2 linked regions of the Saccharomyces cerevisiae S288C genome follow. Each later gene encodes a partner of the first gene's protein in a complex. Each region holds a gene or a part of one and is shown in the gene's direction. Other genes may lie near its edges. The genes, in order: TRM82 and TRM8.

Region 1 (3,728 bases):
ATAATATGCTTTATCTTCTCACCACTAAAATCCATTCCAAATCCGGATAGGTTTTGTTCAATAGCAGAAATATCCGCTAATTTTCTTTCCGCGTTCTCTCCTAGGCATTCATCTACCAGTGTCTTATGCAAAATCAGCCTTCTTCTTTCTTCATCAAAATCTTTCAGGTGCGCTACGACACTCAGCAGATCGGTAGTATTCTTTACGTTCGATCTATCAACCAGCAGAGGGTTTTTAGCAATCAGTTCCTTGATTCTTCCTTGAATATATTCGTTGGCATCCATAATATGCTGATGTTTCAAATCAATCCAGTCAGGATCATACAAATCTACCAATTTTGAAACCTTTTCCTCTTGCTCACCAGCTTCATTCTCGGCAGAATAATGATATATATCTTTTTGTGTGTCCACATTAGCTACCAGGTCATAAGCCATTGCTTGATAGCTAAAATCATGTAATATTGGCGCAAAAGGGTCCAGTGTTCTATCGGTGATTATTAGAATGGAACGCGGTCTTTCAGTGTTTTGAGGAGGGAAATCTGGATTATTGCGAGCGTATGTATCTATCGCTATTTGGAAAGCGTTTGCAATAGACCTTGTTAAAGAATTTGCGTTGACTACGGCGTTTCCATTGCGGGCATCTTCCTCTTCCACAGGATTAGATACAGAATATCTAACAATCGGATATTCCCCCGTAATAACACACAAACTAACTAGTGAGCCTACAATCTTCCTCACGTTAGTAGGAATCAAAGCCTTACAGTTGTTGTTGAAAAAAACCTGTAATGAGTGTTCCATTTGTAAAGTTTCGAAGAATTGAGATTCTTTGACGAAAAACCCTAGTTCGATCGGCTTAAATGACTCCAAATTTTGAGCAATGTAACGTTTTGATTGAAAAAACTGAAATATAGGGTTTGTTAATCCTGGTAAAAATCTGATGTGACATCTTCTGTACTTAGGTGGTCTTACCATGAAGTCAGCATCGATACAATTGATGTTATATTTCGTTGGTTCCAATATGTAAATTGCCTCGATGGAGGATTGTCCTTTTCTTGTTGGGGAATCAATCAAATCAACAGATGTGACATTATTTAAAAGTTCTTGGGGTGTGAGGAAAAGATAACTCAATATTGTCTCCACAGTTTTATCGATAATAAGAAACTTCAAGTTATTTTTCGTCTCAATCTGATTCAAAACCCCTATCAAATAGTTCCTCTGTAATTCAATTAAATCAGACATCGTTCCGCCAAACCAAGCATGTGCACACTCTTCTACTTTGTCAGTGGATTCTAATTATTTTCAAGGTCTTACAAAGCAATGTCTTACTAGTTTCAATAGGGACTTAAACTGATCGTTTAAGCAAAAGAAAAACACCGTGCTGTGTGACCATCTACCAATAATTGCGAGAACATAAGACGACGCCGCCATTCACCTCTCTATCACTTACACCATGTTATAGGGATAAGTGTGTAGTCGATCGGCTATTCGATGATTTTTAAAGAGTGCCTGTAATAATAGCTGTATCGCAAGTAAGGAATACAAGATTACTGATATTTTGATCCAGGAGGATGGACATGTTAGATAGAAAAACTAAGAGGGCTACTACATCCGGTTTAGTATTCTGTTATTGGGAATGCTTTTCCCAAGACGCAAGCAAGAGGTGACACATAAACATAGTTTTCTTATTGTATCGTTACATATTCTTATTTTACGCTGCTGTCATTAAATATGGCACTTATCTCAGATACATTTCTTTTAATCAGCGAAAAAAATGGCGAGGTGAAAAAAATCGATGAGATGAAAAAATTTTTTACTAGTAAAGGCGTATTGATGATATATTAGCAGCTAAAGTATAGCAAGGTTTGTCAATTTGAAGCAGTCCGCGTGTTTTACAATGAGCGTCATTCATCCTTTGCAGAATTTACTCACCTCTCGTGATGGCTCATTAGTTTTCGCCATCATTAAGAATTGTATCTTAAGCTTCAAATATCAATCGCCAAATCATTGGGAATTTGCTGGAAAATGGTCTGATGATTTCGACAAAATTCAAGAATCGAGAAACACCACTGCTAAGGAGCAACAAGGACAATCCAGCGAAAACGAAAACGAGAACAAAAAATTGAAAAGTAATAAAGGCGATTCCATTAAAAGGACAGCAGCCAAGGTACCATCTCCAGGTCTTGGCGCCCCACCGATATATTCGTACATAAGAAATCTGAGATTAACTTCGGATGAATCAAGACTAATTGCGTGCGCAGATTCTGACAAGTCCCTCCTAGTTTTCGATGTCGACAAAACTTCCAAAAATGTCTTAAAGTTGAGAAAAAGGTTCTGCTTCTCAAAGAGACCGAATGCTATTTCTATAGCCGAAGATGATACTACAGTCATAATAGCTGACAAATTTGGTGATGTATATTCTATTGATATTAATTCTATCCCGGAAGAAAAGTTTACTCAAGAACCTATTCTCGGTCATGTCTCTATGTTGACTGATGTACACTTGATTAAAGACTCTGACGGTCATCAATTCATAATTACAAGTGATAGAGATGAGCATATTAAAATTTCGCATTATCCCCAATGTTTCATTGTGGACAAATGGCTCTTTGGTCATAAGCATTTTGTTTCTTCCATATGCTGTGGCAAAGACTATTTATTATTAAGTGCAGGTGGTGACGATAAAATCTTCGCTTGGGATTGGAAAACTGGTAAGAACTTGTCTACCTTCGATTATAATAGTTTGATTAAACCTTATTTGAATGATCAGCATTTAGCACCACCAAGATTTCAAAATGAAAATAATGATATTATTGAATTTGCAGTTAGTAAAATTATAAAGTCAAAGAACCTACCGTTTGTTGCGTTTTTCGTCGAAGCTACAAAATGCATAATAATTCTGGAAATGTCCGAAAAACAAAAAGGGGATCTTGCACTAAAGCAAATTATAACTTTTCCATATAATGTTATCTCATTATCCGCCCATAATGATGAATTCCAAGTCACCCTAGATAATAAGGAATCATCTGGTGTGCAAAAAAATTTTGCCAAATTCATTGAATATAACTTAAATGAGAATAGTTTTGTCGTGAATAATGAAAAATCAAACGAATTTGACAGTGCCATCATACAATCAGTACAAGGGGATTCTAACTTGGTGACCAAGAAAGAAGAAATTTACCCGTTATACAATGTTTCCTCGTTAAGAAAACATGGAGAACATTACTCGTGAAATAAAAAGGTAGTAAGTACATCTTTATAACTAATATAAAAAAAGATACGTACCGATTTGTGTTAATAATCATTGTTAGTACATCTTTATACCTCTGTTTCTAGCTGAAGGCGGCGAATTGAATAGCAGTTCTTTTTAAATTGGCAGATACAATAGGATTAATCTCATTGATACATTTTTGTAGTCTATTTGTGTCGTTCTGGAAACAGTTTTGTAAGCACGCCCTTAATGTGGCCTCGGTGTCCTTTTCAAGTAAAGGACCCATAACCTTCTGAAAGAATTCCAAATCCACTATAATTTGTAATGAGCCATCATTAGAAAGATTACCAACATAAGGCTTAAATGCCTCAAAGAGGTATCTGGCTATAAAAATCTGCGTTTCAATTAAAATCTTATGGATGAGCTGAGGCCCAATTCTAAAGCACTCACTGTGAACCACGATCAGAATCATTAACGCTTCTATAATATAGTCACCAACCCTGAATGAATTTGATGTATAC
Region 2 (3,764 bases), 690 kb from region 1:
AAAGGTCGTATTGGAGCTTTTTCCTCGGTTCTGTAAACTTTTTCCTGCAGTATCCTAGATTCAGATTCCTCATAGGGTGGTGGCGCTGAGTTGTCCCTTACAGACTCTGATATTCGATTTCCACTGCTTATTGATGCATCTTGTACAGCTGGTGAACCCAAACTCTCTTTTGTAGAACTAAAATTGAAAGGAAGTTCATACCTACTACCAGTACTGTTGGTGCCATTATTGGCATATCCTATTTCACCTGTTGGCTTGGAATTAAAAATGTCCATGCCGTTATTACTATTTATGGTTACTGGAGTGCCTAATTGACCACCATCAGCATTCCCGTCTGTGAAATTCAGCGCACTCAAAGGCAGCGATAATGATGAGGAAGATGAAGGGGATGTAAAAGGAATAGCTGGTGTGAGTTCAACGATAGAGTCATCCACTGGATAGGGTGCAGGCACTATATTTTGAGCTGGCAAACCATGCCTATCCGAATTGGCATTTCCCAATTTATGCGAGGACTCCCGCGCCCTTGCTGGTGGAAACATGTTAATGTGTTTGTCATAGAGGTTAGGTTGCGGTTGGCCCTGATTAACCATTGCCTACTGTATTAAAACAAAGTATTAAAACGTGGTGGTACACTCTGTACAAAAGAATAGAAGGAAATGAAAAGAAAACGGAGTTAAAATCTACTTCATAAAAAGAGACGCTTCCAAATCCAGTCTCTACCACGTTCTTGTATATAATTTGAGCAACTCAAATTAAATTACCGGGATATCTGCTTATTCTACAAGCCATAGCATCCAGTGCTAAGGTTCATCTCAAGCCATCTTCAATACACTTGATAATTAGTCGTCAATTTTAAAATTAGGTTTCGTTCTTGAAGGCACTTAACCTAAGCTTTTTACTATATGACCTATTAAACAAGTCTTTTTCATAGTGTAACCTAACGTTTATACACTAATAACCCTAGGGCTTAGTAGAGATTCATACAGAAAAAAACGTAGAGTTATAGCAGTAAACTGAGAAAAGAAAGAAGGTTAGTACAATTGAAGAGTAAGGAAAACAAAAGCTTTAGACCTTATTGGAAGTGCTTGGGCGCGGAGTGTGATTATAAATAATGTTGCAGCTAAGGTTTATGCCTGGATGGGTCCCCAGAAATGGTTTTTTTGGTTTGAAGGAGACAATTGGTACAGTACATAAGAGATTTTATGCTCTGGCTTCTGAACAACCCTCAAGAAAGACAGTAAAGCCGCTGGACTCGAGGAAGACGTTTCTCATCGATACATACAAGCATTTAATGGAGAACAGTTCTATGATTTTTTTTGTCCATTACAATAATCTTTCCAAAACAGAAGATCACCATTTCAGATTCAAGATTAAACAGACAGGAGGGAAACTCACAAAAGTAAGAAACAACCTGTTCGAAGTCTACTTGAGAAATTCGCATCTGCCCGACCCATGTGGATTCGTGAAGCGTAAAGAGCAAAACTGGAAACATCCACTCTTGCCACTACTGAAGGGTCCTACGGCCACAATTACATACGAAGACACCAACCCTCAACAAGTAGCCAAGCTATTGAAGGTTCTGCAGTCAGCACAAGACAAGCTGATGGTGATTGGTGCAAAAGTAGAAAACGAAGTTTTGAATGTGGAAAAAATAAACACTTTTAAGACTCTCCCCACAAAGCCGGAAATGCAGTCGCAGTTAGTCAGCGTTTTGCAAATGCTAAGTGGGTTGGGTTTGGTTCGTACGTTGGAAAACAGTTCAAATGCATTGTATTTAACACTAAAATCTCACAATGACAACCAAAAACCTAAAGAGGATGTGGAGTCAACTACAGATGCAGAATCGAAGGGATCAAAGTAAAAAGAAAATGCCCGTAATTCGACAAGTTTTATAAAGGTTTTACTATTCAATCATGTACATACATCATCAAAAAATAAAAAGACAATGAAGCAATAACGGTAAATATACTTTAGTCTATGTATTGACGTCAAAATTACCTTTCTTTTACCTTTCTTACCTTTTTACATATCTCAGCGACCGTTGAAAAAAAAAAAAAATGAAAAATTTTGGTGATGACTTCAGCAAAAAATTTCAGGATATTTCTGACATTTCACTTTATTAAAGCGCCACAAAAGCTGGATTAGTATAGATTCAGCAGTTCCCATAGGATAAAATTTTCAAGCGTTTATTGTTAAGATGAAAGCCAAGCCACTAAGCCAAGATCCAGGCTCCAAGCGTTACGCATACCGTATAAATAAGGAAGAAAATCGTAAGGAGTTGAAGCATGTAAAGATCAATGAAAGTTCTTTGGTGCAAGAAGGCCAAAAGATCGACTTGCCAAAGAAGAGATATTATCGTCAAAGGGCGCATTCCAACCCATTTTCAGATCACCAGTTAGAGTACCCAGTATCTCCCCAGGATATGGATTGGTCCAAATTGTACCCTTACTACAAAAACGCGGAAAATGGACAAATGACAAAGAAGGTGACGATTGCTGATATTGGCTGTGGATTCGGTGGGTTGATGATAGATTTATCACCAGCCTTCCCTGAAGATCTTATCTTAGGGATGGAAATTCGTGTGCAGGTTACAAATTACGTGGAGGATAGAATTATTGCCTTAAGGAACAATACAGCTTCAAAACATGGATTTCAAAACATTAATGTCTTGAGAGGTAACGCTATGAAATTCTTGCCCAACTTTTTTGAAAAGGGCCAGCTTTCTAAAATGTTTTTTTGTTTCCCCGATCCTCATTTCAAACAAAGAAAGCATAAGGCAAGAATTATCACTAACACCTTGCTGAGTGAGTACGCATATGTTTTGAAAGAGGGCGGTGTCGTGTACACAATTACAGACGTCAAAGACCTGCATGAGTGGATGGTAAAACATTTAGAAGAGCATCCTTTATTTGAACGGTTGAGCAAAGAATGGGAAGAAAACGATGAATGTGTGAAAATAATGAGAAATGCCACAGAAGAAGGTAAAAAAGTGGAAAGAAAGAAGGGTGACAAGTTCGTCGCTTGTTTCACAAGATTACCAACGCCAGCCATATTGTAACATAGATGTATAACTAGAACAATTTACCACATATACATAACTATTTCTTATGTTTATTTTCCTAAAATCCTTTATCCAACTACAATCTACTAAGGCTTAAGCTATTTTCCTTTTCATTATTTAATAACTGTTCTTTCAGTTTACAGCTCCATTTATATCCGGTTAATTTTCTATTGCTACCAACGATTCTATGGCAAGGTACTAACAATGCCAGGTTATTTGAGCCGCAAGCTCTTCCGACAGATCTTGCGGCAGTTGGCTTCCCTATTCTCTTTGCAATATCACCATATGTTACGACGTGGCCGTGTTCCACGTTTAAAAGCTCATTCCAAACTTTACGTTGAAAATCTGTTCCAAACAGGAACTCAAAGGGAATAGCGCCCGATGGTAATGGCATTTTGTTTTCTAAACATATTGTATAATTTTCGATTGATTTCTTATATGTTTCTGCCTCTTTTAGTTCCTGTAAATCGTACATTGTATCCTGTTTCTCATGTTTCTTCAAGAAGCCTTCCACCTTTCCCAATAAAAAAAGCTTATCATTACCTAACGAGGCAAAAACAAGGTTTTGAGTCTTTTCCCTAAACACCAAAAATGCACCAGTCACTTCAGTTTCAATGAATGTATAGTAAAGCAGTTCCTTCATCGTTGGTCCATTTAGATCAAAAATGCGACCGTTTTCAATTTTTTTTTTGTGCATATGCTA

The links.
Region 2: the proteins of TRM82 (region 1) and TRM8 are in contact, whole or in part, in a crystal structure (PDB 2VDU), measured with the Saccharomyces cerevisiae proteins. Residues at the interface, in NP_010449.1 of Saccharomyces cerevisiae: Asp172 (codon at 2,407), Glu189 (codon at 2,458), Leu192 (codon at 2,467), Gly193 (codon at 2,470), His194 (codon at 2,473), Val195 (codon at 2,476), Ser196 (codon at 2,479), Asp208 (codon at 2,515), His210 (codon at 2,521), Asp219 (codon at 2,548), Glu220 (codon at 2,551), His221 (codon at 2,554), Lys223 (codon at 2,560), His226 (codon at 2,569), Gln229 (codon at 2,578), Cys230 (codon at 2,581), Phe231 (codon at 2,584), Ile232 (codon at 2,587), Val233 (codon at 2,590), Asp234 (codon at 2,593), Lys235 (codon at 2,596), Trp236 (codon at 2,599), Phe238 (codon at 2,605), Gly239 (codon at 2,608), Lys241 (codon at 2,614); in NP_010080.1 of Saccharomyces cerevisiae: Tyr69 (codon at 2,402), Val71 (codon at 2,408), Ser72 (codon at 2,411), Pro73 (codon at 2,414), Met163 (codon at 2,684), Lys164 (codon at 2,687), Phe165 (codon at 2,690), Pro167 (codon at 2,696), Asn168 (codon at 2,699), Lys172 (codon at 2,711), Asn199 (codon at 2,792), Thr200 (codon at 2,795), Leu201 (codon at 2,798), Ser203 (codon at 2,804), Glu204 (codon at 2,807), Tyr207 (codon at 2,816), His235 (codon at 2,900), Pro236 (codon at 2,903), Leu237 (codon at 2,906), Thr282 (codon at 3,041), Pro283 (codon at 3,044), Ile285 (codon at 3,050), Leu286 (codon at 3,053).

Annotation. Positions count from the first base shown.
Region 1 is NC_001136.10:782,978-786,705, forward strand, and holds TRM82 (Trm82p), read left to right. Parts: upstream 1-1,893; coding exon 1,894-3,228; downstream 3,229-3,728. Other genes in the region: SEC1 (Sec1p), read right to left, coding at 1-1,238; exocyst subunit SEC5, read right to left, coding at 3,329-3,728. UniProt on the Saccharomyces cerevisiae protein: Required for the formation of N(7)-methylguanine at position 46 (m7G46) in tRNA, a modification required to maintain stability of tRNAs; its absence resulting in tRNA decay.
Region 2 is NC_001136.10:97,364-101,127, forward strand, and holds TRM8 (tRNA (guanine46-N7)-methyltransferase), read left to right. Parts: upstream 1-2,197; coding exon 2,198-3,058; downstream 3,059-3,764. Other genes in the region: ACK1 (Ack1p), read right to left, coding at 1-590; mitochondrial 54S ribosomal protein uL10m MRPL11, read left to right, coding at 1,112-1,861; MGT1 (methylated-DNA--protein-cysteine methyltransferase), read right to left, coding at 3,138-3,704. UniProt on the Saccharomyces cerevisiae protein: Methyltransferase that catalyzes the formation of N(7)-methylguanine at position 46 (m7G46) in tRNA, a modification required to maintain stability of tRNAs; its absence resulting in tRNA decay.